2 linked regions of the Oryzias latipes genome follow. The protein of the gene in region 2 purifies or fractionates together with the protein of the main gene of each other region. This does not show direct contact. Links are inferred from orthologs where the notes say so. Each region holds a gene or a part of one and is shown on either strand. Other genes may lie near its edges.

The links.
Region 1: the proteins of RNA-binding protein MEX3B (region 2) and AP-1 complex subunit beta-1 purify together in Homo sapiens (affinity purification with mass spectrometry; 4 studies listed by BioGRID and IntAct, with this or other methods). This does not show direct contact. The link is inferred for Oryzias latipes from reciprocal best matches to the Homo sapiens genes MEX3C and AP2B1.

The regions. Positions count from the first base shown.
Region 1 is NC_019872.2:25,038,787-25,042,443, reverse strand, and holds part of AP-1 complex subunit beta-1, read right to left. Parts: intron 1,734-3,657; coding exon 1,649-1,733; intron 1,418-1,648; coding exon 1,331-1,417; intron 798-1,330; coding exon 643-797; intron 1-642. UniProt on the Homo sapiens protein: Component of the adaptor protein complex 2 (AP-2). Adaptor protein complexes function in protein transport via transport vesicles in different membrane traffic pathways.
Region 2 is NC_019867.2:10,558,489-10,562,839, reverse strand, and holds the start of RNA-binding protein MEX3B, read right to left. Parts: upstream 2,953-4,351; 5' UTR 2,353-2,952; coding exon 1,710-2,352; intron 1-1,709. UniProt on the Homo sapiens protein: E3 ubiquitin ligase responsible for the post-transcriptional regulation of common HLA-A allotypes. Binds to the 3' UTR of HLA-A2 mRNA, and regulates its levels by promoting mRNA decay.

The sequences.
Region 1 (3,657 bases), on a different chromosome or scaffold from region 2:
CATTCCTGTGTTTTGTATTCTTAAAATTTGTTTCATCTCTTCAACAGCATCAGTCTTCCAGAGGACTGCAGAAAGAAATTAGCCTGTGTCTAAACTCTGGTCTTTCACTATATTGTGGTTCATGTTTTGTGGTCTCGCAATGTCTTTCAGGCAACTTTGCATGCTTTCTTTTTTTTTTACAGTGCACTGTGTTCTGCGTTCTGATTGGCGGTTGTCAATCAATCTCCTCAGTGCCATGTCTCCTGTACAGAATGTGTGCAAGTTGCCAAATGTACATAAAAGTTTGAGAAGATCTTCGTTCTTATTCAGTAATACTGGTCTCATTTTTCTAAAAGGGTTTGAACTTTGAGAGTTTAAACAAGGGAGAAGAGTATGACAATGTTCATGTCTGTTGGAAAAAAGTGTTTAGTGAGGAGTTTTAAAACATCTGTAATCCCACTTGGGGGGATTACACCCATTGTGGGTTAATTATGGAATGTATAACCCGCAATAAACAAGGAAACACTGCATTTACGTTTGTTTTTGATGTTCATTAATATACAATGTCTCCGTCAGAATAAATACATGTTCAAATAAATATTCAAATACAAAAGGAAGCATGACATTTGAGCAAGACTCCCCATAAACTACCCAACACTGTACCGTGTAATTGGGGTTTCCCGGCTGAATCCGGAGCTCGGCTAAGATCCAGATGCCGTTGGTTAGCTTGAGGGACTGGTAAAGCATGTCCTGACCTTCAACGTTTCTTTTGGCAATAGTGTAGATGTTGTTATTCTGCAGCTTTCCTGATACGGCGTCTGAAACAAAAAAAATGTTCACTTTACATCACGAAACCATCCCATTACAAAAAGTATGAATCACTTTAGGTACTAACACAAGCATATGCACTACGCAATGCACGTTTTCTACAAAGAGTGAGTTTATTCTAAAAGAGTTTAGGTGAAATATGACTGGTCACCTTAAGAGTTTTAGGTTATCTGACTACTCAAGTAACAAACCACTATGGATGACTGCCATCCAGGATAACAGAGACACATTAATGGGGGGCTTCTAAGAAGAAAAAGGCTGGATAGATAAAAAGAACCGAAATCCAAAGACAGGCATGCAGGTGAAAAAGAAAACAAAGAAAAGTGTGAGATGGAGATGCATCGCATGTGAAATATTTGACAATGAGGAAGAATATGTGAAAATATTTTGGATCAAGGAAAGAAACTGTTGCCCGCTTGATCTCTGCGGTAAATATTTACAATAAAATAAAGCAGATCTGCAAAGTTATCTAATGTTAGAAGAAAAACAAAAATCTAAAAATGTGTTTTATAGTGTCACCTACCTGCATTTAAGTGACAGTCCTTTATCTGATACTGCAGCTCATTTTCATTGGGGATGTCTTTCCATGTTGCCAAGAACACCTGTCGCTCTGAAGACGGTTAAAGAGAGTCACATAAAACCTACTGGATGCTTTGTTAAATGAAACAAATATATGTGTGAATATAATAGAATAAAAACCTATTCATTCCATTGAAAAAATACTTTAAAAATCCTTAACAATAAACCTAAAGAGAATAGATTTGTGAAAATATTCCTGGAAATGGTCTTTAGCACAGATTTTCTGATGTAAAATATTTTTAGAAATGCACAACATTCGTACCCATTTTTCCATCCTCAACAAAGAATATGTTGAGAGGGATGAGAACGCTGAAGTAAAACACATCAATGCTATTCTTCACAGCCACCTGCGCAAAAACCAACACAAGACAAATGAGAAAGTAGCTCAGACAAAAACAGAGTTTAAGGCGACAACGTTCCTTCAACTAAAACTAAAATATGAATTTCGCTTTTCCAAAACATCTGAACATTAGAAAAGTTTGAGGTGCCTCCTGAGGAGCAAATGGGTTCCCTCTGTTTACGGTCCATTATGTAGTTTTAACAGGTTTTTTTTTTTTTTTTTTTTTGCAAAAACAGTGGAAGCAATTAATAAGCTTACTTTGTGTAAGTTGATGAACCTGGTTAACAAAGGGCAGGAAAAGGTGACTGCAAAGCCAAGGTTACCAACAAACATAGCAAAAAATAGCAGTCAACAAAAATAAACAGCCCAAGCTTCAACTCAATCCCGAGTGCAGGTGAGCCGGTGCTTATTAAACTTTTCACTAATAAATAGTTAAAAAAGGTGAAATATACAAATCTGTAAAGTAAACAAAAAAAAGTGCAAAGAAACTACGTACATGTTGGCTCCTACAGTTATTAAAACCTTAGTCTGGATTATTTTGGCTCATTACATAAAAATCTATAAAGAGACTAAAAAAAATTTAACATGAGCAGTTTTAGAAAAGAAACAGCATCAAACTGAATATTACTAGATCAGAATTTTTCAAAGTCCTGATATTGTCATTGTGTTTGATAAAAGTAAGCAAAATTAAATGCGTTGTTTTCTTTTTTGTGACCTTATATCAGTGTTTTTCAACCTTTTTTGACCCACGGCACACTTTAACCTTGACAAAAATCCCGCGGCACACCAGCATCCAAAAAAAATAATAAATAAGCAGAAATTCATGGTCTCTATTGATCGACAGTCCCCCCCCCGCAATCTCACGTGCATTTTGTGATAATTGTGGCCAAAAAAGCAGGAAGTTGCGGCTGTTTTTTCTAAGAGATGAAATAAAAGTTAAATTAGAAAATTTAGAAACTGTTTGTTTGTCCGTTGAGGTTTCTAGACATTTCACGCGCACTCATTATGCGCTGGGACACTGGCCCTTTAAGCCAATGCATCATGGGAGATGTAGTGTGAAAACTGCCGAAAAAGGGCAGAAAGACTCGCGTCTGTGAGCTTCATTGTTTTGTTCACGGTCTGACACCGGACTCTGTGGAAAGCTACACCGCTAAAGACGAGCTTTAGCTGGTATTTTTGTTGGAACTGAGAGAATTTATGAGCAGAATTAAGAACAAGGAAGTGAAGACTTTAACCACTTCTGATTGGTCAGACTGCTGACATGTGATTAAGCCTTCAACAATGATTGGCGGAGACAGGTAAAGGGGCGGGACTTTCCCGCAAACCGCTATAGCTGCAGGTAAATACCGTCATTCTTATCAAAATGTCTTTAATAGAATCAAATAAACACAAATAAAAAGTAATTTTAAGATCTTTTATATTCCTCACTACTCAAGTGTTTTATCAGGGCCTGTTTGGATGAACAAAGAGCTGATTTCCTGGAGATGGAAAATGTTTTTAGATCAGTGAATGATTAATGAGGGTAATTTCCCACGGCACACTTGACCATCTCCCGCGGCACACTGGTTGAAAAACACTAGTTTTTCAACCAGTGTGCCGCGGCACACTGGTTGAAAAACACTGCCTTATATGGTTTGATTGATTTAATTCTGTTTGTATTATATTACTATATACATTTCTTTTAGAACCTTACAATCACATTTAGTACATGAAAGGCTGCAAATTCTGAAACCTCGAGAACCAATTTGTTAAAAATGTCTAAAAACGCATTTTGATCAAAGAGATGTAATTATACCGATATTCAAAATGTTACATGATGCATTTTTCTTTAAAATGACAAAATAATATTAAGCTGTTCCAATCAAAATGTACTCTCAAGCAACAAAGAAATAGCAGAATGCTTTCCAATGTACCTTATTCCAGTTAACATG
Region 2 (4,351 bases):
ATGTTTCATAGTCCATATTGGTTCAGTTTGAACGATCTGATTCACTGACGTAAAATCGCTCCAGGACATCTTTAGTCATAAATTCAACCAGTGTGACTCAGAGATAAACACCTGGTCTTGAACAGGTGAACTTTTCTAGATTAGTAAACAAGGGTTCATGGAAAATGCATTAACATTTAGTTCAGCCCACTGTTTTTTCCACATCAATTAGAACATTCTACCACACTGTATGGTCACATGTCTTTGCAAAATTCAAAGTGTTTCCACAGATCGGCCTGATTGTTTTTTTTAGGTGCCATCACATGTGTTTGCCCGCTGTGATGACACATTTTTACATCATACTATTAAGGTCTAAATTCAACTGGTATTTTCCACCATCGATAGAATTGATTCATTTCATTTTGAAACAATTTTATAACGGTATAGGTCAGCTTGATTAACCCTTGTGCTATCCTCGGCACTTTAACATTGGGAGTTGGGTCATCTAGACCCACTAGACGGTGCGTTAAACCTTTTTTCTTCAATGATTTGTGTTCTTCACTGGTGTCCATGGATTACAGGAAATCTTTCCACCTTTATCCACCTTTGTCATGGTAGGGAGAACACGTCAATGCAAGGGTGGGGTCATCTTAGATAGCACAAGGGTTAACATCTTGCCTCACACAGATTGATCTGGTTGGATACTAGGAACAGATTGCTACTCCCTATTGGTTTTTGATCTGTTGACTGCCCTGTATTCCCCAGCAGAAATGCTGCAAAGAAAGCTCTCTTTATTAGGTTCTGTTTGAATCAGCACTCAGCTGCATAATAACTTCATTGACCACAGAAATAAAAACGTTCCAAAGCAGAATAATATAGTTAATTCACGTTTTCATTGGGTTAATTTGTTCCCCATCAAGCATATGTCATCATTTCCATTATAGAAAACCTAGAGTTGTTTATTGTCAACGTCCCACACACCATGTCGAAAATCTAATACCATTAAAAAGTTCCTCATCTTATGAATTAAATATTATTTTGAGCAGTGGTTGAGAGTCCAGCATCATTACCAAGATCCATTTCCTGTTGTTGTCAACACCAACGGGCGCACCTCCCCCCATCTGGTTTAAAAGACTACATAACACCATCCTCACCCTAACAGTCAACAACTTTAAGTCAAAAATCTAATTGGATCGTGTTCGCAAAAACAAACGAGTGCGAGAAACCCCATAAATCCCCCCGATGGTCTTTAATGAGGACAGTGGAGGGAAGAAAAAAAAAAAACTATACAGCTGATGTGGCAAAGCAATGGAACATTGCTCTTCTTTATGTCCTACGAGATAAAGCCCAGCCGGGGTTTTTTAGGCAAGGAAAGACAGTTTAGTTTGATAAGTAACCGAAAATCACTGTAAAGAATAAAAACGAGCTGATAGTCAGCAGTAATGTGGTCAAAACGACTGAAATGGAAAGATGTGAACTTTTTGGCTAGCTAAAGTCTGGGTGGTGTTGACCCAGTTTTCAAGTGCTAAGCTTAGCTAACAGCTTAGGCTAACATCGACGGTTTTACCGTATTATTTTACTGTAAAGGAGGTACATTTTAAGGCGAATTTGTTATTTTCTCATTAGTGAACATCTCATCTTCTACAGCTAATGCCTCGTGGAGGTTTGGTCACAATGAACGGAACTTAGAAGGGGCTAACAAAACAAAGACACACACACAAAACGCTCACCCTGCCTGCCCACAATCTCGGCGACGTGCTCGGAACTCGGTACGGCCACACATTCCGTGGTGTTGACGCTTTTTCGCCGGGACAAAAGCGAAGGCTCGGCCTCGAAACTCGCTTCTCCGTACACGCCAGCCGGTAGCATCGCCATGCTGTTAGCTGAAGAAGGCAGGGCGCCACCGCCAATCCCGGTGTCATCCCGCTCGTCTCCATTGTACAGCAACACGGTCTCTAGTATGTGCGACGGCTCCATTCCGGGAGGCATCGCTGAGTTACTTGGTCCCGATGGGAGATGTTGGTGGCGGTGGGCCTGCAGTAGGAGCGAACTACCGGGGCAGTCCAGGGAGTCGGTCGCAACAACTTCGGGCTCTTCGTCTTCAGCCGTTTTGTTCACTTCATGATGATCTCCCGTGGGCGGTCGATGCGTCGACAGGGGTTTCAAGTCCAGAACCGTGCCGAGTAGTCTAAAATGGGAAACCTGGGGGAGCGGGTGGTGCTGAAAAGATAAACTTTCGTCTGTTTGTTCCTGTGTCTGGCTTTGGGTGTCGCGGAGATCCTCGAGGCCCACACCGGCCAAAGCATGCACCAGCGGCGGTGGGACCTCGGACTCTCCCTCATCGGCATCCAACAAAGACGTGCTACTGGGCATGATGCAAACCAGTTTTACAGATAAACCGATAACGATACAGCAGGTTGATTGTGATAATTATGCTAAGATAAAATAATATTTAAAAAAGGAAACACAAAAAAGCGACCAGCGCCTGACAGTTTAAATGTGTGCCTTTTGTTTTGTCTCAGCTCCCCATGCAGCCCTCCTTGCCCTGTAATCTCGCACTCTTTTTCACGCGAGATTTCCGCTGAGACGCCACAGCTGATGGGAAGACGTCATAGTAAATGAACGAAATAAACTGTCATTCTTTCTGTCGCCCCTACAAATGTGTGTTAAAGCGATGTGAACAATAATTTATGGCTGACAGATCCAAAACTGTTGCTGTCGATCACTTGTTCAAAACAATGCTTTTTCTTCGCAATTTGTGTCATAAAGTCAGCAAAACAGACTTGAAAATGTGCTTGTAGTAGCCTAAAAGTTTTATGTCCCAATCTCTTGGATAAATCAGAAAAGTATTTATTTCTGTTATGAACTGTAAACGTGTATTCTTAGTTCCTGGCAAACCAATCAAACACACTTGGAATTATTATACCCCCTTCATTTTTAGTTAATTGTTTAGGTAAACATGTTCATATATATATATATATTCTGGGGTTTTTAAAAATATAAAGATTAGAATAAATAATTATATAATTTCAGAATTATTTTAAAAATGATTTGATTGTGTTTTCAGTGCATTATTTATGCTTTTTTTGTATTATTCATATTGTTTTATCACAACAAAATTTTATATGTTTGTATGCATTTATGCTAAATTATATGTGAATAAAATAAATTTTGTATTAATCGATTCTGCATCTGGAAGTGTGTAGTCTATAGAGAATACTGCATGAACCCAGGTACTTATGCATGATGTGACATGTCTGTTAGCAGGAGCTGCACATCCAAATGCTTTTTTAGTGGTATCCTTTAGGACAAATAAATGCAATAAAATAACAACAAATATTTAGAATATATTTTGCATCTTCTTAAAAAATTATGCAGTTGTTTTTTGAAAGTAAAAACATGTCTTTGTTGGTTTATTTTGTCAGTGTTAACTATATTTGAAACAGATGCTGTTACAAGAGATGCAAGAGGGGCAAAATGTAAGAAATGTAGTAACTATAGAAAGCCCAAGACATGATAAAACATAAATGTGTGCACCCTGTTGTTAATTAAAAAAGAAAAACAGACAAACAAACAAAAATAATTGCATCCATTTCTTTTTACTATGAAGCCTAAAATCTCCTATTTGTGGTTTGACAGCCACATCACCCATCCATCCATCCATCTTAAGAACCCGCTGAATCCATTTCTGGTCACAACCCAAAGATGTCAAACCAATGATGAATGTAAAAACAATTATAAGGCCGAGAAGTATTCCAATCTGATCAAGTCTCAGCTACTAGCGTTGTGTGTTTGGGCTTATCGAACAGCAATTAGGGAAGCTGTTATGTTTGATTTAAAGGGCAGAACAGGTTTTGCCTTAATTGGTTTTAAAGTGCTCATCCACAAGCCTTTTAACTGGCAGCTTGTTACCCAACAACCATAGAGCACAATGAGAAAAGGACAAGCTTTAAGTCGGAGAAAAAACCTAACAAAATAATTATCCACCACTAGTTTAAGGGAAGTAGGTCTTTTTTTATTCTAGGGATTTTTTTCTATTTAAATCGCCTTTTTTGAGTGTAGCTCTTTATTATCTTATATAGCTAAGTTTAATAGTATCTGTACAGTTAATCAAAAGATAAGAATAGATTCAAGCACACATTGTTGGTATACATTTCAAATGTAATCACTAAATCTGATTCTGTCCTAAACGGGCATCATTTCGCCCATAGACATACTAAAAGATTTCACCTACCTTATTTTGTAAAGTTTTTCCGATTTAATAAAGTTAAGTGAAAAAAAGCCAGCCACGTTGGACGATCATTCATTGGCAAATCTTTTCTGTAGACGTGGCCCACGTGATTTGACAAGCGTTTCCTCCTCGCCTTTTGTG